Linked DNA regions of Elephas maximus indicus. The protein of the gene in region 3 purifies or fractionates together with the protein of the main gene of each other region. This does not show direct contact. Links are inferred from orthologs where the notes say so. Each region holds a gene or a part of one and is shown on either strand. Other genes may lie near its edges. The genes, in order: BRINP1, HIC1, SIRT1 and FOXO3.

What was found.
Region 1: the proteins of SIRT1 (region 3) and BRINP1 purify together in Homo sapiens (affinity purification with western blotting; 6 studies listed by BioGRID and IntAct, with this or other methods). This does not show direct contact. The link is inferred for Elephas maximus indicus from reciprocal best matches to the Homo sapiens genes SIRT1 and BRINP1.
Region 2: the proteins of SIRT1 (region 3) and HIC1 purify together in Homo sapiens (affinity purification with western blotting; 4 studies listed by BioGRID and IntAct, with this or other methods). This does not show direct contact. The link is inferred for Elephas maximus indicus from reciprocal best matches to the Homo sapiens genes SIRT1 and HIC1.
Region 4: the proteins of SIRT1 (region 3) and FOXO3 purify together in Homo sapiens (affinity purification with western blotting; 4 studies listed by BioGRID and IntAct, with this or other methods). This does not show direct contact. The link is inferred for Elephas maximus indicus from reciprocal best matches to the Homo sapiens genes SIRT1 and FOXO3.

The regions. Positions count from the first base shown.
Region 1 is NC_064827.1:69,193,990-69,201,969, forward strand, and holds the start of BRINP1 (BMP/retinoic acid-inducible neural-specific protein 1), read right to left. Parts: upstream 3,001-7,980; 5' UTR 2,917-3,000; intron 1-2,916. UniProt on the Homo sapiens protein: Plays a role in neurogenesis and brain development. May suppress cell cycle progression in postmitotic neurons by inhibiting G1/S transition.
Region 2 is NC_064837.1:19,699,641-19,706,482, reverse strand, and holds HIC1 (hypermethylated in cancer 1 protein), read left to right. Parts: upstream 1-3,946; 5' UTR 3,947-4,093; coding exon 4,094-4,130; intron 4,131-4,459; coding exon 4,460-6,627; 3' UTR 6,628-6,828; downstream 6,829-6,842. Other genes in the region: collagen alpha-1(I) chain-like, read left to right, coding at 1,426-2,037, 2,779-3,564, 3,825-3,946. UniProt on the Homo sapiens protein: Transcriptional repressor. Recognizes and binds to the consensus sequence '5-[CG]NG[CG]GGGCA[CA]CC-3'. May act as a tumor suppressor. Involved in development of head, face, limbs and ventral body wall.
Region 3 is NC_064834.1:19,952,021-19,959,860, reverse strand, and holds the start of SIRT1 (NAD-dependent protein deacetylase sirtuin-1), read left to right. Parts: upstream 1-4,836; 5' UTR 4,837-4,913; coding exon 4,914-5,346; intron 5,347-6,738; coding exon 6,739-6,855; intron 6,856-7,840. UniProt on the Homo sapiens protein: NAD-dependent protein deacetylase that links transcriptional regulation directly to intracellular energetics and participates in the coordination of several separated cellular functions such as cell cycle, response to DNA damage, metabolism, apoptosis and autophagy.
Region 4 is NC_064819.1:174,355,938-174,363,010, reverse strand, and holds the start of FOXO3 (forkhead box protein O3), read right to left. Parts: upstream 3,018-7,073; 5' UTR 2,909-3,017; coding exon 2,291-2,908; intron 1-2,290. UniProt on the Homo sapiens protein: Transcriptional activator that recognizes and binds to the DNA sequence 5'-[AG]TAAA[TC]A-3' and regulates different processes, such as apoptosis and autophagy.

The DNA.
Region 1 (7,980 bases), on a different chromosome or scaffold from region 3:
GAGTTAGGGGTCTCCACCTTCATGTGCGTGATAGCTTTATACGAGGGAACACAATTTGGTGCGGAGGTTGCGATTTTCTTTTGGAGAATACAGCAAGTAGGAAAGGCTTCTGGGTCTACACTGGTATATGTGTGTTTGAGTGCACGTATACATGTGTCGTTGTTCATTCTCCTGTGCTTGTAATATGTATAAACAGGTAAGGCCGAGATTCTAATTAATATAAAGAAATTAATTTGCCTGAAGTCTTTGCATAGGTGGATGGGTGCACACTTTGCTTTCTGGAAAACCTGCCTTAATAAAGAGCTCAGATAAAGCTCAGAGCATTTCCTGGGTTCCATCTACCAGTTGTAGTCAGTATTGGGTCCCTGCCTGGATGCGATGCTCTGAAGGCATTGGTGAAAGAATGCCTGTTCAGTGTGTGTGTGTGTGTGTGTGTGTGTGTGTGTGTGTACTGTGTGTGTATCTAATGAGGAGAGGGGTGGAAGCACTGGACCCTTTCTCTTCACGGCCACATTTCCAGGTGGAGAAGCTTTGAAACACATCTCTGAAATGAGAAGTTGTGTGAGGTAAGACAAGTGATTGTCTTGGGTGGAAGTGTGGTGGTGGGGTCCGAGCTAGTAGCAACATATAGACCCTGGGCAGAGTGGAGGAGTGGAAAGGACATTGACCTGGCTGTCAGGCAACCTAGGTTCTAGCCCTAGGCATGCCACCAACTCACTAGAGAATACTAGGGAATTTTTATCCCCTCTCTGGGCCCCAGAGTCCTGCCTGTCTGCTCTTTAATATTCCTTCCAGCTTCAATTGTCTATGAATTGAAAAAGAGAGAAAACGAAAACAGCTCCCAACATGGGGCCTCCTTCTCTGCTCCTACCCAAAATGAGCTAGGGAGCTCTGCTCTGACATGAGTTTCCAGAAGCAGGTTCCCCGTGGCTGTCTGAAGGGCTTCAGCCTGAAGTATCAGCCTCTGGCCAGAGACCTGTGTGTCTGCAAGCGAACGCAGGTAGCACCACCACCCACTCGTCAGGGCAGATTCCTGCAAACACATGTTTGCTTTTATCTCTCCCCAGAAGATATATATATATACACACACACACACACAGATTTTGAAAGCCAAGTATATTTTTACCTTTTTCCCCCAAATGGCCTTTTCACTGGTCTTTTCAAGCTCAGGCAGACAAGAGGCTGAGCCTCAACATCTCAGCCCTTGTCCTCCCAGCACCTCGCTGCCTGAGAGCAGAAAGGCTGTCTCTTACCTTGGGAAAGTAACAGCTGCCGAGTCTGGAAGCCATGCTAACAGCAGTAAAACTCAGCATTTCTGCTGAGTAGGACAAGCCTTTAAGTGGCAGCCGGGAATCAAATCAATGGCTGGCCACAAGTCTAAGCCCAAGATAGGTCCTAGCCAGGATGGCCAAGGGACTTACCTATACAGCTTCCTAGTAGGTGGAGAAAAGGGGGCCTTGGTCTGAACTGTCCTCATGACTATGAGATTCTGCCTGCAGCCCCTGTGCCCTTGGCAGTGTTTTAGAGCCAAGCAAGAGATGGGAAGTGCATCCTGACAGCAGTTTAAGTCAAATTACTGACATCTTCTGCCATGGGTTCCCTACTCATAACCCCTTCCCAAACTGGAGGTCTCCCTCAAAACACATACACATACACACACACACACAAATATATGCCACCTCTCTGCCTGCCTTCTCCCAGTATCCTCCTAAGTCCAGTGGAACCATGGTTGGGGTGGGGGTTGGGGGGCACAGTTTAGGAAGGGATTATCTGGGGTGTCTCAAGCCTGCCTGAAATGGGGAAAGGAAGGTGGAATCTGTCTTAGGGAAGTGCCCCATCCATCTCCTCCCATAATACCCAGAGCTGCCCTCAAATGAAATTTCCTTTTGAGACTCTGGGCAACTACAATGGATGGGCAAGTCCCCTAGGACTCTTTCCTTTCCCTTGAGGGGGATCATGCAAACTTGTCCAGATCTTCCCAAAAAGCCCCAGGAGCAGGAGGTGCTGTCATGCTGCTGCTATTACAAACCGGAGGCAGGGCAGATTCTATCTCAGTCCTGCCAAGGCCCAGATAAGGACTCCACTGCCGACTTCTCCCTTTCTCTGTTACCCACTACCCACTGTCTAAATTCCCATTAGAATCCTGGAGTCTGACCAGTGTGGAATTTAAAGCGACAGCATCTCATATGCCTCAGGGTTTGGCCATTTCTCTTTCATATTAAACCACATTAAACGATGGGTTCAAGTGTAGCAGGACTCCATCCTTTGGGGGAATTTTCCTTCAAGGGGACCAACATTGGGCTAAATAAGGTGTCATTCCTATCCCCCAAATCCTCCCCAAGTCCAGAGCCCCTTGAGGAAGTCCACAGCGGGTTTCCCGATGGCTACGTGATCCTATAGTAAGGATCCCAGGCCGCGTAAGCCGAAGAGACCTAATTAAAAAGGCACACAAGCGCACATATGCAAACACATACATACGTACAAACGCGCACACACACTCACGCTGTAAGTAGGTTATAGGACCTTTCTCCTCATCCCTTCTCTTTCACACACACACACACACCCCACAAACACAGCCACCAAACGCAAACGAGGCCGCACAAGCAAACACACACTAGCACCACACCAAGTTCCCACCAGGCACACACGTCGGGAGAGCGCGGGGCGGGGGGGTGGCGGGGACCACACAGGCCACTTACTAAAACCCGCATTTAACCCTTTGCGTCCCAGAGAAAAGAGACAACCCCCCACCCCGGAAACTGAGAGGACTTGGAGGCGGCGGGGAGGGGGGGAGCAGAGCGGACTAGGGTGCCTGGAGGGGGAGGGGCTGGGGCGGGCGGGGGCTCCCCGAATGCGGTCCAGGGCCGGCTCCAAGGGCAGCTGGGCTGCCGGGCGCTGAGCCCGGCGCCGCCTTACCTGGAGTCAATGTCCGTCTTTGGCGGAGAGCTGCGGGCAGACGCTTTTTATTCGGCTCGGTGGGAAGTTGGGAGAGCCCTGCGTCCAGCTCGCATACCGGGGACGGCGCGGGGACTGCAGGCGCGGGGGTACCTGGCTCCTAGCAGCCTGGCTCATACTCAGCCGTAAAGTCCCCTTCGCTGGCCCCGAGGACAGGCATGAATGCCGGCTCCGGAAGGCGGTCACTACTCCCTCTGCCTCCCGGCTCTCTCGTTCTGGCTCGCTCGCTCTCGCCCTCGCGCTCGTTCGCTCGCCTGCGCTCTCCTCCTCCCCCCGCGCCAGATCAGTTCGCAGCGGTGGGGACCCGGAGCGAGGCGGCTGGCGAATGGAGAGGGAAGTCCAAGTGCGCCGCGGTCTCCGGGAGGGGAGCAGCGGAGGCCGGGCTAGGCGGGGGGAGGGACTTACCCGGCGACGGGCGAAAATGAATGGGGGAGCGGCGGCCGGGGGCGGGGAGGGAGGAGCCGAGCGCCGGGGTTTATTCTGAGGAGTGTTTTGTACATCTTTAGGCGAAGGAGGAGAAGAGAGAGGAGGGGAGAAAGGAGGCTGTCTTGGAGGAGAGGGACGCCCTGGGTGGGCTGAGGCTGAGCCATTGGGGAGTCTCGTAGGTCCGGGGATGGGGTGGCGTGTCTCCGCGTATGTGCACCTAAAGGGGCTGTGTATGTGCGCAAACCCGAAATCGTAGTGGCCTTAGGCGTGTCTGCAGCTGTGTGTGTCGCGAGCCATCTGAATGTTTCTGGGTATGCGGGTACTTGTGTGGCTGTGTATCTGAGTGTGATTTTTGTCTTGGGAAGTGCCTGTGTGGGCCCGTTTGTATATGTGTGTCTCAGTATTTGATACTGTTTCTCTGCGTGTGTAGGCGCGAGCCCACGTAACCTCCTCGAGTTAAGCAAGTGCTTCTCTTTACGTGGGCAGAACGTAGGAGTGAGAAGCTGAGGGCACGCAAAGTTCTCTGGAGACCACCAGAGGCAGGGAAGAGGCAGGGCAAGGGGGCTCAGCCATGAGTACGAAGAGTCAAGGAGTACGGATTCAATGTGAAATACTGCCCGAGGGTGCTGACAGGGAGCCTCTTCCTGAATCGGGAAAGAAGGCCCACACAGGACCTGAAGTCCCACAGACTGCATATCCTGTATATGTGCTTACTGTTTTCTTTTTTGTTTAAACCAAATCAGCAATGCAGACCCCTAGTCCCTTGAAGTTTAGGCAAAAGTGAAACTGCCAGATGCAAGGGCAGGGAGGGATATGGAAAAAAATGATGGGAACTTTAAAGAAAGGCAGGTTGAGTAACAGTGCTGGCTCCAGAGGATTTGGAATCCTGTAGCTATGTGATCTTGCCCCTGGTAGCGGTGACCCTGGTGGCGCAGTGGTTAAGAACTCAGCTGTTAACCAAAATGTTGGCAGTTTGAATCCACCAGGCATTATGGGGCAATTCTGCTCTGTCTTACAGGGTCACTATGAGTCAGAATCCACTGAAGGGCAACGGGTTTGTTTGTTTGCTTGCTTTTTAACCCTCAATTCCTCATCCGTATGATACGAAAATACAACTACCTATCTAATGGGGTTGATCTGAGATTTAAGTGAGTTAATGCATGTAAAAGCACTTAGAATACTCTCTGGCACTTAGTAAACGCTCGATACGTGTTCTGTTATGATGGCTGTTGTTATTAATGCTATTATTATCCAAAGGATTATAGGAAAGAGAAGACGTGATAACCAAAGGACTTAAAAAGATCTAGGAGGCAGTGAACTAATTGGAGAAGAGGAGTCTTGAAACCAAACAGAGAGAGAGAGAGAGAGAAAGTGCCTGTGTCTCAAGAGTCCTTGGATGAAGAGAGGGGGAAGAGGAGAAATGGGGGCCAGCAGCCAGTTCTCTTCTGAATTCCTCTCTGCTTATCCTCTCCACTTTGATGCAAATGAGAGGGAATCAGCACCACGGACAGCTCTCCAGCCTGGGCGGATGGAACTTTCTCCTGTTTTGCCTGGGCCATTTTCTCCTCTCAGCTCCTGGCCCAGGTTTCAGATCCTAGGCAGTAGTTCCTGGGGCAGTTCTAACTTTGATTCCAGCCACGAAGAAACACACTCACCACATACATTGATTCTCCCATCAATTTCAATATGAAGCTCTAAGGTTGTTATTTCCTATTTCTGCCTCCCTCCTTTCTTCTTTCCTCTTCCTCTCTGTCTCTCTCTACCCCCTCCCTTTCTTCATTCCTCCCTCCCTTTCTTTCTATTTCTCCACCATCTCCCAGCTCAGACCTGCCTCCTTGGACAGTAGTAGGCAACAACAGCCATGATAGGAATGCAGTTCTGAAAATAGCCTGAAACCACCTAGTTAGAAAGCTTCAGAGAAGGACCAAGGTACAGACTGATTCATCTGAGCTCCTCTCTCTTAACCTCCCAATATGGGTTAGGGTCCAGATACCTTAGAAAGAGAAGACTTAATACTGTAAAACAGTTTCTTATCTTCCTCTCCCCTACCTCACACAGTCAATATTTCCCTCAGGAAACATAGAACTCTTCCCAACTCCAAATGTTAAAGAGAAAGAGAAAAAGGAGAGAATTTTTTTAACTTCCACCGTGCCTGAACATTTAAGCTTTCCCTATATTGCATATTATTATTTGTACAATGCTACGAGATATAAGATGGATAATACTATACCATTTTTACATAATAGGAAATTGGAGCTTGGAAAACTTGAGTAGCATGCCAAGGTACAGCTAGTAGGTGACGGAGTCAGGAATTCCATACCTGACACTGATTCTTTACTGTGTCCTCTGGGCATATTAGAGAAAGCCCGGAGTGATTGCAAGATCATGGAATTTAGTAGGATCACAGTGCCCAATCCTAAATATTAACTTGAGTAGCTGGAGCCATTGCATTCTCTGCACCAATGGAGTATTTAGCAGCTCTTGTCCCTGGAGGAGGAGATGAAGGATTTGCGTAGACAGATTTAAGGCTCACCCGAGTCTTATGGTTTCTGAGTTTTGACTAAAACTCCAACCTTTCCAGGTCTTAGTTCATTTGCATTTGGCTCTGTTTAGCTTCCCTGTTTCTATGTAGAAAGGCTAAGAGGGCCATTAAAAAAGTCTCCAAAGACTCCTTGGTCATCAGAAAAGTTCTCAGTGTGAAGTATTCCTAATGACTTATGGAGAAAGCAATTCGTACCATATGGATAACATTTCTGCAGAAATACACACGGGTGGGAAAAGGTTTAGAGGCCAAAAATATATTTCTTTTTTTTTTTTTTTTTTCTTCTTTGCCAAAGAAAGAACATTTAAGGCAGCTTGAGATATGTGAGAAATGTCTTGTTCTTTCTTTGGGGTGGGTGTTGGTGAGCAGCTGTTTGCTATTTCCACTGAATTTACCAAGAGCTTGCCTGGGAAGGAGTTGCCAATGGCTTAAGGTAGACTTAAGAAAGAACTTCCTGTCTATAGACAGATACTAGAACAGTACCTTTTTTCAAGTGCATTTAATGAGGCAACTGGTTGTTTCCTTTATAGTCTCCACAACAGGATGAGTTTGATAAACATTAGATCGACATTTTAGGATCACAGACTCTTTTGAGAACCTTATGATTACTATAGACCTCTCTCTAGTGAAAAAGGTATTTACAAAAATGCCCACAATATACTGTATGGAATTCCATTGAATCCCTGCATGCCAGTATTATTTATGAGTCTCTCCCTAGACCTCAGATTTGGAAACTTTAGAGTAGATAACCTTCTGGTCTCCAACCTTACCTTGGATTTTATAGGTTGTTTCATTTAGACTTGAGCTTAAGAAATTGGAAAAGGGAAGCCAATAGGGAAATCCATAAGCAGGTAAGTAGCCCAGTTCTAGAAACACACAAGAAATACAGATACATGCTCAGTGATGTGATGGAGGGGCCATCCCCTCCTCTTTAAATAAAGATAAGATTCACCCTGTTTGTGCAGAACTCTGAGTTACCTGCTGCTGCCTCAAAGGCTTAAGTTTACCACTCCTGTCAAATCTCAAAAAAAAAAGAAAAGAAAAAACCACTGCCATCAACTCAATTCTGACTCATAGCAACTCTACAGGACAGAGTAGAACTGCCCAGTAGGGTTTCCAAGGCTGTAAATCTTTATAGAAGCAGACTGCCATATCTTTCTCCCTCAGAGTAGCTAGTGAATTCGAACCACCAACTTTCAGTTAGCAGCCCACCGCTTAACTGCTGTGCCACCCAGGCCCCTCTGTCAAATCTCAAAGGAATTAAGATGCCTTAATCTGGGGTGCTTTGGGTTCAGAACAAGCTAAACAGCTGCAGAAAAAAAGCCCGCATTTATTGAGTGCCTACCAAATGTCAGATGATGTGAAAAATTCTGAGATGAATGTTTTTCCTGGTCTCTGACTTCTAGGAGACTGGAGTTCATTGCATAGCCAGACTTGTGCCTAAATAATCACAGGCACCGTAGAATGTAAACGTCATGAACAGGGCCTGTAGGAAATGTTGCGAAAGCTGACAGGAGGAAAAACTTGTCTCTATGTGATATGTAACGTTTGGTACTTAATAAGAGCTCTTAAAAAAAAAAATCAAGTTGAATTAAAAGAACTAATATTTATTGTTGAAATCTCTGGGGTAAGCAAACGGTTAAGTGCTTGACTACTAGCCAAAAGGTTCGAGGTTCAAGAACGTGCCTCAGAAGGCTTAGTGATATGCTTTGGAAAGTTCACAGCCTTGAAAACCTTAACAAGACATTTGACTCTGCACACATGGGGTCGCCATGAGTTGGAATTGACTTAAGAGCAACTAAGGAAAATAACAGTATTTATTGGGTACTTATTATGAGTGAGCAGCATTCAACCCTTCAATGTCTCTCATCTAGGTTATGAGTATTTCCTAAATGAACAAAAACGCCTTTTCGTTTTTCCCTTCCACCTCCTCACCTACTCCCCTATTCTCCACTCCCAACTCGCCCTACCCTCACTCCATCCCAACCTTGCAAGGGCCATACGCTTAGAACTCAGTTCTCATCCATCACTCTACTTATCAAAAACCTGGAAGGACT
Region 2 (6,842 bases), on a different chromosome or scaffold from region 3:
CATGATGGCCCACGGTGGCGTCACACCCCGCGAGACCACTGCGGTGCTGTCACCCTCGCATCCTTGGGAGCTGGACCCGGGGAGGGGCCCAGGGCGCAGTTGGGGCTGTGCGTGGGGAGTGGCAGGGGGTAGAAGAATAGGGGAACCCAGTAGTCTTGAAGAGCTTTGGTGGAGAAGGCTGGGCCTGGGAGGGGATGCCCAACGGGGTTCTAGGTACCACTTAGGAGCTGGCGACCTAAAGAAAGCAGAGAAGTTGAGGAGCTTTGGTTCAGAGGGGTCTCAGGGGGTGGAGAGGCAGTGACCTCTTCCTGTAGGAGTTAGGGTTCTTGGAGGTCATTATTGGGAGAAGGGCCCATGCCATGTGGGGCAGAGTTCCTCTGGAGGGATGGTGGTGGTGAATGGTCCTGGTCCAGCCTAGCTCCATCGCTAAAGGAAGGCTCTAAAAGAAGGAAGAGGAGTGTGTTCAGAGAGAGAGGAACTGGACTAGGGTGGGGAGAGGCAGCAGATACTGGTCAGGCCAGAGCAGGTGGATCTGGGACGGGAAGGAATGGCCTAAGCACAGGAAGAGCAAAGTCCACAGGACCCAGAGGGGGCCCTGACGCTGCAGCTGCCCTGGGGGCAGGGCTGTGAGACCCTCCCATACAGATGCAATGACAGCTTGAGGTAGTGAATTTACTTGGGGTGAACCGAAGCACGTTCAACCAAGAAAGTGCTGAAAGACAAAGATGTAGGGACAGCGGACCCTGGGGTAGGTCCCAGTGGACTCCACTGCACAAAAAGACATAGGAGGATGAAGGGCTCCTTGCCAAGAAAAGATTAAAACAGAGAGGGGGTCGGAGAGTCCCTGCATAGCCTTGGGATCTGGCCTCCTAGAGTCCCCATTTGTTGCCGCTAGCTTTTGTCCCAGCAGCTCTCTTCTCCAGGAACGCCTTTCCACCTGCTGGGAGAACTCCTATTCATCCTTCAAAGCCTAGCTCTAAGAGCACTTATTCTGAAGAGCCTTCCCGCCTCCCTCCAACACTCCAAACAGTTCCATCTCAGTCCACAGCACGTTCCCTGGATGAGGTATCTGGGTTCATCTCCCGCAGAGGCTGGGAGCTCTGGAACCTACTGTTTTCATCCTTGGGGTCTATTTCCCAAGTGAGGACATTGTGAGGAGATGGAGGAGAGGACAGGGATGAGTCCAGCTGGTCGGAAACAGGGTGAAGGGTGGCCTCAGGACTCGGCGGGCGTCAGGTGGACCTGCGAGGACCAAGAGCTGCCCGACTGGCAGGCACTAAAGCCGTGAAGCCGCCTGTGGAAGGAATGGAGACTCTGGGGGGCGCCCGAGACCTTGGTGTCTGTTTGGAATTTCGAGTGGCAGCGCCAGTGGCCCCTAGCTAGGTGACTCAGCCACTACTTGTGGCGGGGGCCTGGGGGCCGCAGCCGAGGACTATGCGGGGGGCGGCAAATGCGGACCCCGCCAGCCTAGCGGCCGAGCGCTGTTGCTAAGCTCTTCGAGGCCTCGGAGAGACGCGATCTGGGCGAATCTCATCGGTTACTATGGTAACGCTGCGCCCCAGCCTCTCAAGCTCGGCCGCTGGGGGAGGCGCAGCCAATCAAAAGCGGCGGGCGTTCTCGGGGACCCCCCCTCCCCCCGCGTGTGGGCGGGGGTCAGGAGGTGCAGGGAGGGGGCGGAGCGTGGGCCGGGGAGATTCGGCGCTCGCAATAAGCCGGGTGCAGCTGCCGGGCCGCTCGGGGACACTTCCGGAGTAGTCGAGCTAGCGCCCGCAGGCCACTGCGGTGTCCCCTCCGTCCCAGAAGGGGCGTCACCTGCACGAACGGGACCTCCACGCGTAGTGCAGGACCTCAGGCCCTCCTGTCACTTTTCTCCCGGCTCCGTGGGTTGGAAAAGAGGTCGTCCAAGCAGGGTCCCTCAGAATGGCTCACGCGAGAATCTGGGGGCGGGGGCCACTCCTGAAGGACCCCAAGAGACGCTGTCCCGCCATTCCCAGCTGAGTATCCTGGGGCTCCCCTGGAGACCCGCGGGCTGTTTGGGTAACACCTCTGCCCAGATTCACGGAAGGCCCTATGCAGCAACCCCTGGAGTATCTCAAGCAGGAATCCAGACTCTGGGAGGGGGCGGGTGTGTCTGTGCATAGATAAACGCCCCGCGGGTGTCAATGTCTGAAGAGGTTCTGGGTGCGAAAGGGTTTATACTGTGGCTGAGTGTGGGCGTTTTGGGGTGTCCAAGTGGACAGTCTCATCCAGCAATGTCTAAGGAGCGTCCTTAGGATCAGACCCCCTTAGGATTTCCGTAACTCCTCTCCCACCACCCAATGTCATCAGAGTCCCCTCCTTGCGGGCGGGAGTTTTCCAAATTGGTGCCGTATGGTAATACAGAACTATGTACACGGGAGCGATGTACCCTAGTCCTTCTGAGTTCAAAACCCCGGGATCTGTGGGCCTCCTAGGGTCGGGTCTGTGTCCCTAGGTGGGCTGGGAGCGTGGACTTGCAGGTAGGCCCCCCCTCCCCAGAGGCGTAGCGAGGGTAACCAGTAGCCAGGAGCAGTCTCTAAGCTTGCGCCCCCCACCCCCACCCCGCGCCGGCTTCCTCCTCCGGGGTCGGGGGTGATTCGCCGGCAGGCCTCGTCTGGCGCCCCCTAGGACTTGCGCCCGGGGGCAAATACATCCCTCTAACCCCGCTTCGCTAAGCCTCTGTCCCTCCCCCGCCCAGCTCGGTATCCGAGAGCCTACAGCCCAGGTGAGCCGCAGGGAGGTAGAGGTTGTGCTCGGCAGATCCTCAAGAGGCCGCCAGGTGGCGCCATGGCCGCAGCAGCGCCTACCGGCCCGGGCCGCTCCAGATAAGAGTGTGCGGAAAGCGCAGCGGGGCTGAGACGCGACCAGGACGCGGGGAGGACGGACCAGCAGGACAAACCGACCGGGGGCCCGGCGGGCGGAGCGCAGCGCAGCGCAGCCACGTCCCCCCTGGATCCGCCGGCAGCCGGGCCCGGGGCTTCAGACATGCCCCCCAGGTGGGTCCCTGGGCTGGGGTCCGGGCGGGACGGGGAACCGGGGACAGCCCGGTCCCCAAGCGCTGGCCGCCTCGGGGCGCATCCTCCGCAGGAGCCCCATCGCGGCTGGCGTTCTGGGCTCCGGATGTCGCCCCTAGAGGACTCAGGACCACCAGTCGCTCCTCCGCTCCGGGTTCACGGCGGGGTCAGCGGCCCGGGGCCGGCTCTGCCCGCACATGGGCTGGAGAGGCTAGGGGAAGGGAAGGGGAGCTGGCGGGCGGGGCTGGCAGGGGCGCTGCCCTGGCACAGCTCGGCGCCTGGCAGTGGGGCGGGTGGGGCGCCAGCGAGGAGCTGCCACCACCGCGGGGAGGGAAGCCCGGCCAGGCTGCGGGCGCAGGTAACGGGCCGCCAGGCCCTGCGGGGCAGGCGGGGAACAGGGGTGGGCCGGCGGGCGAACGGGTAGGGGAGCTCAGGGCTCGGTCGAGCCGCGCGGCTAGGGCGGCCGCCGGAATTGGGGGCCGAAAAGAAAAGCCGGGAGCCGAGGGACTGGGGCTGGCGGGCTACTCCCGCCGTGTTTGAAGTTGGGAAACTTTTCCCCAAGTTTGGGGCGGTGGAGTTCCCGGGGAGAAGGGGCCGAGGGGAGTTGGGGAGGGAGGCCCCGGGCCCGCGAATGCAGAGCAGAGGACGAGGCCAGGGCCGTGATGCGGGTGGGGCGCAGGCCGGGGTCAGGGCCGCAGCCGGCTGCGCGCCGTGCCCGCCCGGGGCGCTGCCCCCTCCCTCCCTTGGGAGCTGCGTGGCTCCCCCCTCCCCCCCACCTGCTTCCTGCCTCAGCCTCCTGCCCCGATATAACGCCCTCCCCGCGCCGGGGCCCGGCCTTCGCGCTCTGCCCGCCACGGCAGCCGCTGCCTCCGCTCCCCGCGCCCGGCCGCTGCCCGGGCCCATCCAAGGCCTGACAGCCCCGGGTCAGGGTGGCGCCACGGCGGGCACCGCACTCCCCTGCTCTGGATCACTTCCCCCAAATGGGGCAACTTCTCCCGAGGCGGGAGGCGCTTCCTACTCAGCTCCCTTTCTCCCCACTTGGGCAAACTTCTCGGCCCTGAATGACTTTTCCTGAAGCGGACATTTTCCTCAAATCGGGTAACTGTCTCTGAAAGGGTCACTTCGTTCCCAACAGTCTTCTCCTCGGAAGCACCCAGCACCCAGCTCGTGCCCTGTGGCGTCTGGGCCTGGGGCGCGCCGGCCAGCCTGGCCTTTCTCAACCTGTGGCAGCTCCGTCTTTTGGCTCGGCCTGTCGGCCCAGGCTCCCACTCCCAGAGGCCGCTGATCCTCCGCCAGTGCCCAGGCTGCGGTGCTCGATGCCCCAGCCCAACTGAGGGGAAGGGGAAGTGGAGGGGAGTATCGCAGGTCTGGGTAGAGGCGGCCAGGGCGCAGCACGGCTCTGACCCGGCTGGTGTGTGTCCCTGCAGGAGATTGTGCTGGGCAGACGATGCTGGACACGATGGAGGCGCCGGGCCACTCGAGGCAGCTGCTACTGCAGCTCAACAACCAGCGCACCAAGGGCTTCTTGTGCGACGTGATCATCGTGGTGCAGAACGCCCTCTTCCGCGCGCACAAGAACGTGCTGGCGGCCAGCAGCGCCTACCTCAAGTCCCTGGTGGTGCATGACAACCTGCTCAACCTGGACCACGACATGGTGAGCCCAGCCGTGTTCCGCCTGGTGCTGGACTTCATCTACACCGGCCGCCTGACGGATGGCGCTGAGGCAGCGGCGGCCGCGGCCGTGGCCCCAGGGACTGAGCCGAGCCTGGGTGCCGTGCTGGCTGCAGCCAGCTACCTGCAGATCCCCGACCTCGTGGCGCTGTGCAAGAAGCGCCTCAAGCGTCACGGCAAGTACTGCCACCTGCGGGGCGGCGGCGGCGGCGGCGGCGGCTACGCGCCTTACGGACGGCCGGGCCGGGGCCTGCGCGCCGCCACGCCAGTCATCCAGGCCTGCTACTCGTCCCCAGCCGGGCCTCCGCCGCCCCCCGCCGCCGAGCCGCCGTCAGGCCCTGAGGCTGCGGTGAACACGCACTGCGCAGAGCTGTACGCTTCAGGCCCCGGCCCGGCCGCCGCGCTCTGCGCCCCCGAGCGTCGTTGCTCCCCGCTCTGCGGCCTGGACCTGTCCAAGAAGAGTCCGCCGGGCTCTGCGATCCCCGAGAGGCCGTCGGGCGAGCGCGAGCTGCCCCCGCGCCCAGACAGCCCTCCTGGTGCCGGCCCCGCCGCCTACAAGGAGCCACCTCTTGCCCTGCCGCCGCTGCCACCGCTGCCCTTCCAGAAGCTGGAGGAGGCTGCACCCCCTCCGGACCCGTTCCGTAGCAGCAGCGGCAGCCCGGGACCCGAGCCTCCCCCCGGCCGCCCCGACGGGCCCAGCCTCCTCTATCGCTGGATGAAGCACGAGCCGGGCCTGGGCAGTTACGGCGACGAGCTGGTCCGGGGACGGGGCTCGCCGGGAGAGCGCTGTGAGGACCGCGGTGGGGATGCTGCCGTCTCGCCCGGGGGGCCCCCGCTCGGCCTAGCGCCGCCGCCGCGCTATCCGGGAAGCCTGGACGGGCCAGGCGCAGGCGGCGACGGCGACGATTACAAGAGCAGCAGCGAAGAGACGGGCAGCAGTGAGGACCCCAGCCCTCCCGGCGGCCACCTCGAGGGCTACCCATGCCCGCACTTGGCGTATGGCGAGCCGGAGAGCTTCGGTGACAACCTGTACGTGTGCATCCCATGCGGCAAGGGCTTCCCCAGCTCGGAGCAGCTTAATGCGCACGTGGAGGCGCACGTGGAGGAGGAGGAGGCGCTGTATGGCCGGGCCGAGGCGGCTGAGGTGGCTGCCGGGGCCGCCGGCCTAGGGCCCCCTTTTGGAGGCAGCGGGGACAAAGTCGCTGGGACTCCGGGCGGTCTGGGCGAGCTGCTGCGGCCGTACCGCTGCGCGTCGTGCGACAAGAGTTATAAGGATCCGGCTACGCTGCGGCAGCACGAGAAGACGCACTGGCTGACCCGGCCATATCCGTGCACTATCTGCGGGAAGAAGTTCACGCAGCGCGGGACCATGACGCGCCACATGCGCAGCCATCTGGGCCTCAAGCCTTTCGCGTGCGACGCGTGCGGCATGCGCTTCACGCGCCAGTACCGCCTCACCGAGCACATGCGCATTCATTCGGGCGAGAAGCCCTACGAGTGCCAGGTGTGCGGCGGCAAGTTCGCACAGCAACGCAACCTCATCAGCCACATGAAGATGCACGCCGTAGGTGGCGCGGCGGGAGCAGCGGGGGCGCTGGCAGGCCTGGGGGGGCTGCCCGGAGTCCCAGGCCCCGATGGCAAGGGCAAGCTGGATTTTCCTGAGGGCGTCTTTGCTGTGGCTCGCCTCACCGCTGAACAGCTGAGCCTGAAGCAGCAGGACAAGGCGGCCGCGGCCGAGCTGCTGGCGCAGACTACGCACTTCCTGCACGACCCCAAGGTGGCGCTCGAGAGCCTCTACCCGCTGGCCAAGTTCACTGCCGAGCTGGGCCTCAGCCCGGACAAGGCGGCGGAGGTGCTGAGCCAGGGCGCGCACCTGGCCGCCGGACCCGACGGCCGGACCATCGACCGTTTCTCTCCCACCTAGGGCGCCCTGCGCCGAACCGCCTTTGTTCCGCCGCCGCTGGGCCCGGTTCGCGCCCCCAGGGAGCTGCGGCGGAGGCGGCGGCGGCAGCGAGCAGGCACACCGCGCCCCAAACAGCTGTAGTAGCAGCGGCAGCGTCGCCCGCAGAGGCGGCGGCCCCACCTCTCTGCGGCCTCACCTGCCCTCACTGCTTTGTGCCTTAGCCCGGGGGTGGGGGT
Region 3 (7,840 bases):
AGGTCGCCAGAACCCAGGGTCTAGCCTCCGCCCTGTAGTTGCAAATATTGGTTACTCCTTTAATTAAAAAAAAAAAAAAAAACCTCATTTTAATATGTCCAATTTTAACAAGAAATATTTATAAATGTCTCTTCAACTCACCTGTCTTAGTATCTAGTGCTGTTATAACAGAAACACCAGAAGTAGACGGCTTTAACAAACAAATTTATTCTCTCATAGTTTAGTAAGTTAGAAATCTGAATTCCGGGCGTCAGCTCTAGGGGAAGGCTTTCTCTCTGTCGGATCTGGAGGAAGGTCTTTCTCATCAATCTTCCCCTGGTCTAGGAGCTTCTCAGAGCAGGGACCCCAGATCCAAAGGACACACTCTGCTCCTGGCACTACTTTCTTGGTGGTATGAGGTCTCCCTCTTCTTTGCTCCCTTTTTTCTTTTATATATCAAAAGAGATCGACTCAAGATACAACCTAATCTTATAGATTGAATCCTGCTTCATTAACATAACTGCTTCTAATCCTGCCTCATTAACAGTATAGAGGTAGGATTTATAACCCATAGGAAAATCAGATGACAAAATGGTGGACAATCACATAATACTGGGAATCAGGGCTTAGCCAAATATACACACAATTTTAGGGGATATGATTCAATCCATAACACCTCCCATCCATACACACTCTCTCCATTAAGGGATGTTAAAATGTTAGCATTTTGATATGTAACTTTCCATATTTTTCCCAAGCCTATGCAGTCATATAAAAAAAAAATAATAATAATTTTTTTTGTTTTTTTTATGCAGTCATATTTGCTTATAGGTTTTTTTTTTTTAAATAAGAAAAGGACATAAAAAGGGATATTTATTAAATAATAAAAAGACCATAATATACCATTACTGTGCATCTTGCTTTTGTCACCCATAGTGTATCATAAATATTCCTCAACAGCAGTTTACAAATGTTACAAATATTTTTAATGGTTGCATACTATTCCACAGTATGTGTGCACTGGAACTCGATCAAGTTTCCTATGGATAGGTGTCTGGATTGTTTTTTGACTTTTATTCCAGCAACAACAATGCCACAATAAACATTTATATCCTTACATATTCATAATTTTTTTTCCTTAAGATAAATATTTTCCACATGGGATTTTGGATTGAAATGTACGTGTGTATTTATAATATTTTCAGATTACTTTCCAACACTATAACAGCAATTTATGAGCATGTTTTCCCATATCCTGGTTAGCAGCAGACAGTAATAATTTTTTTTTCTATTTGAGGAGGTGAAAAATCATACCCCATTGTTTTAATTGCATACTCCCGACTACTAATAGGGTTGAGCATATTTTACATTTGTATGTAGTCAAATGTATCTGTCTAGTTATTTTAATGGTTCCTGTCTTGCTTATGTTCTTGCTTGACCCAAAGCTACATAAATATTCTCCTAAAATGTCTTACGATATTTTTATTGTCGTATTTTTTTCATTTAGACCTTCAACCCATCTGGAATTTATTTTTTAATATAGTGTTAGGTAGGGATCTACATTCGTATTCTTCCAGATTGATAATCTGTTTTTCCAATACCATTTTATTCATACACAAAGAGTTGGCACCAACTACCCTACTAACCGTAATCAGTCAAGACTAATATCAAAGCTACAAGGCCAATTTACCAGTTTACAGAAAAAGGACTGCCAAGTCAGCCAGAATATTAATGTGGGCTCTCTGCACATTTTCTCCTCAGTGGAAAATACTATATGTAAAGTCCTTCCCTGGAGAAGGACATCATGCTTGGTAAAGTAGAGAGCCAGCAAAAAAAGGAAGACCCTCAACAAGATGGATTGACACAGTGGCTGCAACAGTGGGCTCAAGCATAACAGTGATTGTGAGGATGGTGCAGGACTGGGCAGTGTTTCATTCTGTTGTACACAGGGTTGTCGTGAGTCGGAACCAACTTGAAAGCACCTAACAACAACAATAAAGCCAAATTACTACTGAAGGCTGCTCAGGCGTCTTAGGGTTAGAGTCGAATAATCTTAATAACTAGTGTCAGAAGTCTATGACAGCCCAATGCATCTATCTCTGCCTTGTCAACTAAGGTGCCAGATCTTATGTCATCAGTTTTACTAACTCTCTTACCTGAACTGTGCTGGGGACGAACTGAGAAGTTCCTTGTCTTGCTTCTTGCTTCTTTTTCTAGTATCCATGTTGACCACCACCCTTCATTCAGTAATTCTTTTTCTTTATGGGAATCTTCATTTTGACTCTTTATTCATTTTTGTATGCTTTTCCTCATTCATCCAACAAAAATATGTGCCAGTTACTGTCCTAGAGAGTTGATAATCGAGAGGTAAACCAGATGAACAAAATTCCTGCTGTAATTGGGGAAGACAGTAAATAACACATATAAAGAAAAGAAAAAAGTTTAATAAGGTAGGATAATATACTCTATAACGTATGAAGAGGTAGTAGGGCACAATGGTTAAGTGCTCGACTGCTAACTGAAAGGTTGGCTGTTCGAACCCACTCAGGAACACCTCAGGAGAAAGGCCTGGTGATTTGTTTCTATAAAGATTACATCCAGGAAAATCCTATGCAGGAGTTCTGCTCTGTCACATGGGGTCACTGGGGATTGGAATTGACTCGATGGCATCCAACAACATTCTAGGGACAGAAAACCAAAACCAAATCAAACCTAGTGCCATCAATTCAATTCCAACTCATAGCGAACCTATAGGACAGGGTAGAACTGCTCCATAGAGTATCCAAGGAGTGCCTAGTGGATTTGAACTGCCAGCCTTTTGGTTAGCAGTCGTAGCACTTAACCACTACACCACCAGAGTTTCCTCTAGGGACAGAGGCACAGGGAAAAGTGTAACAAATATGTGGCAGATATGTATTTAAGAAGTGCCTCCAGAATTATTTTATACATACATAAACAAACAGGTAAATACAGTCTCCCTCCCACAGTCCACTCCCTTCATACACTATACTGTATACACTGTTCTGTATCTTGCACTGTGCAGCTTAGAGATCATTCCACATGAGAACTTAGAGTTGTTCCTCATTTTTTTAATGCTTCTTATGAAAGCTCAATTTAGAGTACACTAATGATAAAAAATAATTACAAGAAGGGCAAGGCCAGATTTACGCGAGAAGCTGAAAAACTGAATCTAAACTTGCAGGCTATAGGGATTAGGGAATGACCTGAGTTTTAGGCAAGTTTTAGTTCTCAACTATGGGTAGGTCAGGCTCTAGTTGGGAGTTGTTTTTTCTCATCATACAATTCTGTTTCTTGCTTATCCCTCTGGCACGCATAACTCATCTCTGGCCTTTCAGCACACTAGCCATCATATTGATCACAAAGCATTTCTTGTAATTCATAAACACTAGCAAGTGTCTTTGATGGATGATAAATACAAATAAATGAATGAATAACATATGTCCATAAACTTACAAATATCTTTTTCAAAATAAAATGGTGAATTTTGTTTCTATTTCGATGAGAAAACAATTCTCAACATTTTACATGTTATATCCTACGTGGTTGAGAATCAATTTATTAAATACTTTGTAGGGTACCACAGACGAAGTGGGGAGTGAACAGGGCTAAGGATGCCAGCTAGGAAGGGTGAGGTGCTTACACAGTTAGAAACTGGAGTTTAAGATGGAAGGAAAGACAACAGGATTTGGTCACTGGTTAGAGTGGACTGAAGAAAAACTTAAAAATGATTTCAAGGTTTCAAAAATGTGAGGTTATCATTTTAAAAAAGTGAAATGACCAGTTGAAAGGGGAGATTCTCAGGTTAATTTGAAATACTAAGACTTTTGGATTTAGATGGAATCTTGGCCTCTGCTGCTGACGTCAAAATCTAACTATGAGGGACGTCCACCAAGTTTGAAAACGTGGTCAAGCCTTCCTTCTCAGACCACTGTTAAAAGGTAAAAAGCCTGAAGTCTAAAGATTGGGACTCTGACCCTTGAATTAAAATTGTAATTGTTAATTCCGATTCTCTGGTTCTAAATGAGTATCTTGAGGTCTTCCATGCCTTGCCATGACTACCTTGCAATAAACTGAGTTTATGCACGATAATCTTAAGCATTTCTTCATTCACCTTTAAAATTAAAGCTCACAAGGCAAATGTCCAGAAGGACACATGCCTTTACGGATTTGACAATCTACACGACTCCACAAGTGATTGGGGGACAGGGGGACAACTGACAAAGGAGGGAGCCAAACCAAAAAACCCGTTGCCGTCCAGTCCAGTGGATTCCCGACTCATCGGGACCGGAGGAGAACACGAACCCAAAGAGGAACTGTCAGAACAGTGTGAGGGAGCTTCTGTGTCCTGCTGCTGCTACTCTTACCCAAAAACAAAACAAACGACTATCCATAGTATCTCAGGGAGGAAAGCTTTAGGCAGCTTCATTCCTTCTCCTATCTCAGGAACCAGATTTTAACTCAGCTAAATGAGACAGGACTAGGACAGCCAAGGTGTGCACTTCCAGCATTGGCGTAAACGCGCAGGGGAAGCAACCCTGGAGCCATCGGACCGCATTGCCTTCGGAAGGCCGTTTGAAAGAGGAGCTGAGAAGGTGGCGAAGGGGCGAGCTCGGCCGCACCACGCGCCTGCCGCCGAGAGGCGGGGCCGCGGGCTGCCGGGCTGCGTCGCTCCGGGCCCACGCCGAGCCGGGAAGGCGGACGCACGGCCCCGGCCTCCGCCCGCCACGTGACCAGCCGTGTTGTGGTCCGGCCCGCGTGGGTGGCGGGAGCTGGCGGGAGGGCGGGGGCGGCGAGGGGGCGGGTCACGTGACGGGGTTTAAATCTCCCGCAGCCGGAGCCGCGGGGGCGCCAGTGCCGCGCGCCGAGCGGGAGGAGAGCAGGCGAGGAGGGAGGGCCAGAGAGGCAGTTGGAAGATGGCGGACGAGGCGGCGCTCGCCCTTCAGCCCGGCAGCTCCCCCTCGGCGGCGGCGGCGGCGGCGGCCGAAAAGGAGGCCGTGTCGCCGCCCGCCGGAGAGCCGCTCCGGAAGAGGCCGCGAAGAGACGGCCCCGGCCTCGGCCGGAGCCCGGGAGAGCCCGGCGGAGCGGCCCCGGAGCGTGAGGTTCCGGCGGCGGCCGGGGGCTGCTCTGCGGCGCCGCCGTGGCGGGAGGCGGCGGCGGCGGGCGAGGAGCGGGAGGCCCAGGCGGCGGCCGTGGCGGCTCCGGCGACCGGAGAAGACAATGGGCTAGGCCTGCAGGGCCTATCCCGGGAGCCGCCACCGGCCGACGACTTCGACGACGACGACGACGACGACGGCGAGGAGGAGGAGGAGGAGGAGGAGGCAGCGGCGGCGGCGATTGGGTACCGAGGTGCGCAAGGGCGCGGGCCGCCGGGACTGCGCATCCCCTCCTCCCTCCTGCGGGGCCCCTCCTGGCGTGGGTTCGCGGGGTCTCTGGGGCCGGGCCGGGGCGGGGGGCGCCTCTGCGGCGGAGTCTCCCTCCCCAGCTCGCTTTTCCGCTCAGCTGCGCAGCCCCAGGGCAGCCGGCCCGGCTGCGGGAGCGATCCGCAGGCTCGCGGGCTCGCTGGCTGCCTCCTCCCTCCCGCTCCCCTCTGTCTGCGGCTCGCCAGGCGGCCCCGTGCTTTGCGCAGCCGCTGGGCCGGGAAACTCTTGCAATTGGTTTTAAAATAAGTTTTCTTCCCCCTCCTACTGTTTTTGCATACTGCTTTTGTTAAAGACTTTTGCTTTTCGTCCGCCTTCCCCAGCACACTTAAGTCTGCAACTTTTGCCTGTCCCATTGATCGACCTTTGCCATTGCCTTTGCAACCGGACACCTGTTCAGTTTACCTTTTTTTTTTTCAGGGTCTGTATTATTAAACTTAAAGTTTTACGTTTTAAAGAGGAAAGCTGTTTCTAAAGGTATAGCATGTAAAATATAAAGAACATGGCTGTTGCTAAAGACGTTACTCGAGTGGTGCAGTTAATAATGGGCATGGAAAGTAATAGTACTTTGAGTTTTTTTTTTATAAATATTGTTTTTTCTGTAATGATCTAATAATGATTTTTAGAGGAGGTATAATCCCTGTGTGTGTGTGTAATCCTGACATGAAAATTGGCATTTTTGGCACCCTGAAGCAGATATGTTAGGTGTATAAATCGTGTCATCCATGAGGGTTTCAATATTTTTGATCTGAGGAGTTTCTGTTTTGGATGGTGGTTCATTTGTATCAATATTTTAATTAAGTCCAGTGGCTCATATGTAAATTAACGTGTGCATTAAGGACTAGATTAGTAAAACAACCCCCGATATCAAGGAATTTACAGTTTAGCAGGGGAAACACAATACACAGATGTCTTTCTACGTTTGGTGTTATTGAAAGGGTTAGAAACGCAAATTGCAGCAGTTAACATTTAAAGTTTTTTGTAGTAAATTTCTATTTGATAATTTTTCATAAACGCTGTTATTTGTGATTGACAATTTAACTAGATCACTGCTTTTTTTGTTCTGTTTTTTCTTAAGTGGGCTCAATTTATTTCTAGATTTTGATGGACAAACTTAGATTCTGGGTAGCAGCCCTGAAGATGAGGGTACTTCTCCTTTGAAAGGTGTGGGCGGACCTGATAGGCATTCTTTACACACATGGTATGAATGTTTAAGTGCTGCGTTAAATGAACGTCATTGCCTCATAGCCATTATAGGTCTTAATACATTTTTGGTGCAGGCTGTTTCAGCACCCTTCAGTTACTTTTGCTTCTTTTGCAGATAACCTTCTATTCAGTGATGAAATTATCACCAATGGCTTTCATTCTTGTGAAAGTGATGAGGACGATAGAGCCTCACATGCAAGCTCTAGCGACTGGACCCCAAGGCCACGGATAGGTATGATTTCAAAGCTCTGCAGCTTTAGAGACAAAATGCTTTTTATTGTCTTGTATTTTCATTTTATGAGAACTAAAAATTTAATTCTCTGCCCCCTTATGCCCTCATGATGAGGTTCTTGGGAGCTTGGTGAGATTTAATGTCAGCTTAGGGACAGCTTGAAGGTCCTTGGATGGTGCACATGGTTTGTGCTGAGCTACTGACTGAAAGGTACCCAGCAGCTCCAAGGGAGAAAGACTTGGTGATCTGCTTCCCTAAAGATTGCAGCCAAGAAAACCCTATGGGGCTCAGTTCCACTCTAATACATAGGGTCGCCATGAGTCAGGATTGGGCTAGAGACAGTCTAGGGAAAGTTAGTGATTTTGTTTTTGTTACTGAACAGCTCAGGCCCCTGGAAGCTGGCCTTTTTGCTGTTTCTCACACAGCCAGGTCCTTCTCACTCCTCAGGCCCTTTGCATTTGTGTCTTCTGCCTGGAATGTGCTTTCTCCAGGTAAATAGAGGGTCTTGCTTGCTCCCTTACTTCTTTTTAGCTTTTGCTCAGAAAGCATATCATGAGTGAGGCAGACCCTGACCACACTATCTAAAATTGACACTCCTCCATCTCCTACTGCCCAGCCAATCCCCTTCATATCATTTCTTTAATTTTTTTCTTCTTAAAGACTTCTTGAGAAACTGTGTGTCTTACTTGTTTGTCTTTTTTATTACCTGTTTACTGTGCTAGAATATAAGCTGCACGGGGACAGGGATTTTTGACTGACTTGTATGCTACTATTTTGTTAAGTTCCAGGCCTAGAAAAGTACCTGGTACATAGTATGTGTTCAAATATTTATTAAATAGGTGAATGAAATGGGAAAGTATTTTGAAGTCGAGAATGTTAACAGATTTTTATAATAAAGACATAATATACCCCGTCTTGAAAGTGGTCTTTTTCTTAATGTGCTCTCCTTCTTTCAAAAGTGGCTTGACTAAACACAGCGATGATT
Region 4 (7,073 bases), on a different chromosome or scaffold from region 3:
CAGTCTTCAAGGATTAGTTGCCACATGACACTGACAAAATAAACTGGTATAAAATTTTAAAATAAAAATAATCAAGTGTGTCTTCTATTAAACATACCGAGCCCTGAGAATTTCAATTGACAATACTTTCTAAGGTTTTAAAGAGAGATGAGAAGGAAAGGAAGGAAAAATAAAACCATGAGACAAAAAAGAAAAATGGTTATGACATAAAATCACAAAGTTTATGACTAGCCCCAAATCTCTTGCAAATCCTGCCAGCTATGTGAAAATATAACGAGTCAAGTCCAAATTAATGGCTACTTTGCTAATACCGCTTTCTCTCGTAAAACGTCTAAAAAATCAAACACTATTGAACTATTATTATCTTAAACACAATAGTAAGAAATGTTATTTGAAAAATTAAATTACCTTCATAATCTTAAAAATCATAGAAAAGGTGGCAACCCTTTCTACATTAACTTTTTAACCAAGTTAAAAGTTATCTAAACTTTTAACTAACACAGTCTCTGTGCCAAATTCAAAACATGCAGGACTAAATTTCAAGGGTGGAAAATCTGAAAAATACGTATTCCAAACCTCCAGATTCATCTTCTGAGATCATGTAAACTCGCCCCATCCAGACATTGTACATTGAGATTAATCCCTGCCATCCACTGGGAAATCCAGCTTTAACAGGTATCTCATTAGCACTGCTTTGAAATGGAACTCTCACCCTTTCTGTAAACGAACTTCATATCACAAAACAGGCATTTCTTTGTAAAGCAATAAAATGAGATCGAATATAAGATTCATAACATATCAATTTCTGTTAAAAGAAATAAAGCAGATTTGTGAAATAATATAAAACACACATTTAGCTTTTAAGGTATGTAAACAAGGCCTCTCCAATACTAGCCATAAAAAAAAAAAAAAGGCACTTTGCAAGGTTTTTCTAAAACTAAATTCAAACCTTTAGTGCACCGAATTCTTAAGCTTTTTCATAGTCTCCTCTCAAGAATTTCAAGTCACTTTTCTACCAAGGTTAAACTGTTCTTATTTTAGACACCTACTGGAACCCAGGAAGATACAGGACTCCCCAAAGATAATGAAAGGAAAGCCAGAAAAAGGAAGCAACTACCTCTTTATTAAAACATAAAAAAGACATAATATTACAAATAGAAGCACCTAATAAGCGACATCTATCTCTAACTATACAAAAGTCTCTTTTGCCTGGTAGCAACACATTCATATCTTGGGGGAAGGGGCCAAGAAGGGTGGGGTGCCCAGGAAGAGCAAAGAAGCTGGATATCAGCAGCCCAGCAGGGGCAAAGGAGTTAATCTCTTTGGATGCCCAACTGCAGGAAGTCATTACATCATAGGTCTTTCCACACCTCTCTCCCTACCACGTGTCCGGTGCCCCAAGAGGCTGAAAAGGAACAAGAGAGTCTCTGTTCAGGTTCACTTATAGGCAGAAGCCATGACCGCCCAGTCCTGACACCAAACCTCCCTCCCCTCCTCCGGCCTAGGCGAAGCACAGGCCAAGGTCCTCCACACCTGGGCACATAACACACACAGCGCCAGCATCCAGGCCTCAGCAGGAGAGGCAGGTGCGGCCAATTTGCGCTGAAGTGGCAGGGCTGGCCCTTTCCAAGCCCCAGAACATTTGGGAGCCTACCCGGGGACAGGCTTGCTGAAGTGTCAACCCAAGCAAAGAAACGATGCCTGGTCAGGAAAAGATTTGAATCGTTGCTTTTTTTAACGGGATCGATGTGCCTGTGGAAATAACACCCATAAACCCCGAACTTCGACCCAAAGGTTCTCAGGCAGCCACTGACAACGCACCATGCTCCTACGGCCCACTGGAAACCACACATCCAACCGCTCCTCCACGGACAGGTCCCCATACGCTCCCCCACGCCCCTACACACCAACGGCAGCGTCGGAGCAGCACCCACCTCCGATTAGCTCCATTCCAAAGTTGGCGCGGACTTACCTCCTCTGCGCTGTCCCGGAATGCAGCAAACGCACTCCAGTCAGTCTGTCCTACACTCGCCGGCGTCCCAGGCCCCCTTCTCACCTGGTCGGCCATGCCCAAGGCTTCCCCGGTTGCCTCCTTCCCTTCCTCCGCGGCCGTCCCCCGGTATCTCTCCTCCAGAAGTCACACAGCAACCCCCAAAGCCTCGCAGCGGAGGCTCCCACTGCCAACCCTTTTCCCTGGCGCCCAGAGGCGCGCTCCGACGAACCTGAGGCTAGTCTCGTGCGGCGCAGGACGCCCTGCGGGTCCAGCAGCCCGCTCCGGGTGGGTACTCACCTTCCAACCCGCCGAGCTGTTGCTATCGCCCTTATCCTTGAAGTAGGGCACGCAGCGCACCATCCACTCGTAGATCTGGGACAGGGTGAGCCGCTTGTCCGGAGAGCTCTCGATGGCGCGGGTGATCAGATCAGCGTAGGACAGGTTCCCCCAAGCGTTCCGGCGCGACGAGCATTTCCTCGGTTGCCCGGAGCCCCCAGCCGCCCCCGGCTGCGGCGGTGGCAGCGGCTGCTGAGGCTGCAGCGGCGTCTGCATCCCCCCGCTCAGCGCGCCCGCCGCGGGGGCTTGCCCGGACCCAGGGTCCTGCCCTCCGGGAGCCAGCAGCCTAGCCGGGTCCTCAAGAAGCAGCCCCGAGCCCAGCGTGCCGCTCTCGCCGCCGCCGATCGCCATGGCCGAGCCGGCCCCACCGCCGCCGTCCTCCTCGTCTTCATCGTCGTCCTCCTCGGGGATCATGGAATCGGCGGCCGCCTCCCCCGAGGGCTTGGCCGGGCTCGCCTGGAGCTCCGGCCTCTGCAAGGGCCACGTACAGGAGCGCGGCCGGCTCTGGGGCTCGAACTCAGGGTCCAGCTCCACTTCCAGCGGCGAAAGCAGGGTCGGGGAGGCCGGTGCCTCTGCCATCTTCGCCGCCCGCCCGCCCGCGGCTCGGGCTCTCGCGCTCTCTTCTTTCGCCGGGGCGGGGTGCGGCGGGGGAGGGACCGGGGCGCCGCGAAGGCTCGGGCTCCGGGCGCCGCCGCCGCTGCCGCCGCCGCCGCCGCCGCCTGGGGAAGCACTAGAGAAGAGAAGAGAACTGGTTATCTCGGGCCGGAGCCGAGTCCTCCGTGAGTCCTCGCCCGCCGCCGCCTACCGGACGGCACCGCGCCCGCCTCCCAGCAGCAGGCAGACCTGGAGACCTGCGTCCCAAGAACCTGGCGCAGCAGACACCGCCCCCTGGTCTGGCCGCGGAAGAGACGTGAGCGAATCGACGGGCGCGCACGGGGCAGCCCCCTCCCCCGCCGCCCGATCCGCAGGTCTCTCCAGGGCTAGGTGGCGGGGCGGGGAAGACGGGGGGGCGGGCGCGGGGGAGGGGCGCGGGCCGCGCCTTTAAAGCGGGCAGCGGCGGGAGCTGGCGCAGCCGAGCCGCGGTCGGAGCCCGGGCCGGGGCGGGCGTGCGTTTGTTTATGTTTCGCTCGGGCCCGCTCAAGTGCCTCCCGCGGTGGCGCCGCCAAAGTCTGTGGCGTCTTCGGCTCTTCTCCCCTTCCCCAGCCCTGCCGCCTCCGCCATCCCTCTAATATCCCACACCCAGCGGAGGGACCTAAGCCCAGGGACAGCGCGGGCAGCTCCTTTCTCCCCCTTCGCCCGCAGGCCGGGAGGGCGGATGGGGGTTCGAGCGCAAGCGGGCCCTTGTTACTTCAGGAAAAAAAAAGGGGGGGGGACAAGAAGCTTGGCGTGTGTTCGCAATGGGTCGAGCAGGGCAGGAACGGCCATTCCGAGGTTTTGTGGTTTATTTTCCCGTGGACGCCGTGTCCTCCGCCCCTCTCCCCCCAAGGAAAGAGGAAGGAGGGAGCAAATCGGAGCATAAATCTTCCAACAGGTCGGGAAGCGCTTCGAGAAAACCCGGACCAGCCTGTTCATCACCTCCTTGCTCCCGCTGCTGCCATCTTGACAGTTTTTCTCCCTTCACTCAAGTCCTTTAAAAAGACTAGCGGGAGAGGGGAGCTGCACACACCGAGTCACAGAGAGGGAAAAGGGAAGCGCCTGGCCCAGCTCGGAAGCAGATCCGGAGTCATCGGGAAGGCGGCCGCCCCGTTGCACTGCTCCGGCGCCTACCTCGGTTCCTTCCCTTCAGGGACAAGGCGGGAGGACGCACAATCCCGCGCGGGCTCGGGGCACAGCGAGGAGGAGGCGCGCAGCCTCGGCGAAGGGGAGACGTTCCGGCCGCCGCCGCAACCCGCCTGAGGAGCCGCCTGTCAGCCTGCCCGCCGCCGCCTTCCACATTCCTCCTCCTCCTTTCCAACGAGCAGGGCGGCCGCGGCAGCAGCACAAAGTTATAGACACACGCAGGGCGCCTCAACCTAGGCTGACGGCGGGCGGGCGGATCCCCGCCCAGGGGGAGGGCTGGGGCGGCGGGCCGGGGTGTGCTGGTGTGCGCGTGTGTGTGTGTGTGTGTGTGTGTAGCGTGTGTGTGTTCGCGCGCGCGCGCGCCCGCGCGGCCTGGCCCCGTGGGGCTGCGGGCGTGGGTGTCGCGGCGCGCGCCGCGGGGCGGGGAACGGCGGGCTCCCGCAGCGATCTCTGCGGGACTCTAGCTCCCTCTCCGGAGCCGTAAGGACAACAAAGCGAAAAGAACCCTAAACCCTCCACAGACCGCAGTCGCGTGGTCTCCTAAGCTCGGGCCAGGGCGCCTGGCACCGGGGGTCCCCGGAATGCATGCCCACTCTCCGGGCTCTGGGCCCATCCTGGTATCCGGTTCCCCATTAGAACGGGACACCAGGTAATACCCGAGATGTTAAACGCAGATGGCCAGGATTACCTCGACGTGGAAATACTGGCAAGCGCAGATGTTAGTGCCTACAGGACTTCGATAAACTTGACGCCCTCAGATTTGATCAGAAACCAGAAGGTTTTCAAGGAGTATGACCTTGGACTTTCCGCCACAATCGTTTTTCACTTTTAATAGATTTCATGACAAACAGGGGGACGTAGAATTAACTCAGAAAGAAAAGCAAATTATTCCCCATTTCTGAACGCAAGAGCAGATTCTGAACAATAGCGAATGGGAAATAATTTGATTTTAATTTTTGAATGACGTCAAAACAGCTACTATGCATTTGTTTTTACTTCTTAAAAAGATAATCCTTTAGATTTAGAAGAACATCTTCACAAGACCTTACCCTACGTCCCGTGCCCAAATCGTTCATTTGTGCATTATTAAGAACGCACTAAATGCAACATGCACACAAAAAGTCTATCCGCTCAGGTTCACAAATATCTTTTTTCCTTATATAAAATCCTTCTAAATCACTGGAGATTATTTGAGAGACTAGGACTCCACAAGAACTCGACACACAGAAGGGCCAATCATGCGTACACAAGAGTCCGCCCATCGGGACAACTCCGGGCTCCGGGCTTTGCGCAGGGCCTGTCAGTCAAGTGACGCGCGGCTCCGCCACTGCACCAAGCTAGTTCGACGCGTACAAACAGATGATGTCATTGTATCCACACGCGCGTGACCCGGAGCTCTGCGCCGCGCCGCCATTCGCTGGGCCGCTTACCCGTCAAGCTATACAGCGCGCTGACTGGCCGCGGCCAGCAGTCTCCAGGCCCCAGAGCCTCTCCGCCTCTCCGCCCCCGCCCCCCAACAAATAATAAACAATCGAGTAAAATTCTAAGGAAGGGAGGAAGGACGGGAGGAGAGGAGAAAAAGAGGGCGAGCCAGAAGCCAATCCTCGGCGTGCTGATGAAGCCTGGGTTAAAAGGGGGAAAGTGAGAGGACGAGGGACTGAGGGGAGGGAGAAAACCTGGGGCAACGGGTCCCGCCGCGGTGAGTAGGTGCCGGGAAAGAAAAGTTCGGAGAGCACTCCGCTGTGTGCGCCTAGAAGTCCGGGGGACGCTAGGGCCCCGGAGCGTCCGGGGAGGGGCGGTACGCGGCCCACGGAGGGGGTGGAAACTGAGCAGCGCCGCGACGGCGCGGGCGGAGCCAGCCGACACGTGCGGGAGGAGGGCGGGCGCGCGCTGCGCTGCCTCGCCCGGGGCGCGCAGCGCCTTTAGCCGCGCGCGCTTGTTTACCAGCGCACGTGGGTGTTATTTTTAAATGGAATGTTGCGCTGGCTGCTCAGTAAAGTGGCTGGCTCGTGGGTCCGCCCGCGCTCATTGGGGGACGCGGCGGGGCCAGCTCGCCGGGCCGCAAAGCTGTACCCACTCAGCGCTTCCAGCGCAGCTGGAGGCCTGGGTTGGTTAGGGAGCCTGACGCCGAGTTTCGCGTGCTGCTCCGGCAGCGACGGAGACGACGTCTTTCCACCGCGCCAAGCTGTCTTTCTGCGTTCGGGCTCGGCTACTGCTTTTGTATTGTGGAATCAAAGCCGCCTGCTTTTCTTCGTTCCGGATGCCGCGCCAGGCCGGGCATCGCGGCCCATCGGTTCCGGAGCAGATCTCGCTCGTACGCTTACATCTTGATGCACACACTTCGGTGCCGAGGTGGACTCAGCGTTGTTTGTGCCCTCGCTCCCTAGCTCCGACTACCCCCAGTCCACATGTACCCATCTCGTAGGCATACGGCTCTGCCCACGGCAGAATGCGTTCCTGCTACATAAAACGGTCTTCAGACAAGGGGAAACCCGTGGGATAGGGCTTTAACTGTACCCAGAAGTTGCTGGTGTGCCTGCAGCTCCACTCACCTTGTGGGCATGCTTCCCTGAGAAGCCCGCGGTTTGCATTTGGTTTCCAGCCTGGCAATATGGACAGTGATGTGTGACCCCAACTTTCAACTTAAGGTGGCCGAGCTCTGGGGCTTAGTGGGTTCACAACATATTACCTGGTGTCTTTATTTAGATTTGCAAGAACCAGGAGGCTAGATGGCCCGTGGTTCCCATGGTTTTGCACCGTGATACAGCATAAAATCTAAAGAACTTTCAGTTGCTTGTTTTAAATACTTAGGAATACACTAAAAGAAACCCACGCTTTATCTTCAAATTTAAGTAATCCTTTGCCAATAGAATGTAGGCCTGCAGACTAAAAAGAATGTGTTTACACTGGCTGGGCTCTCTGCCATTCGTTTTTCCCTATAAACACGATGAGTGTCCATTTACAG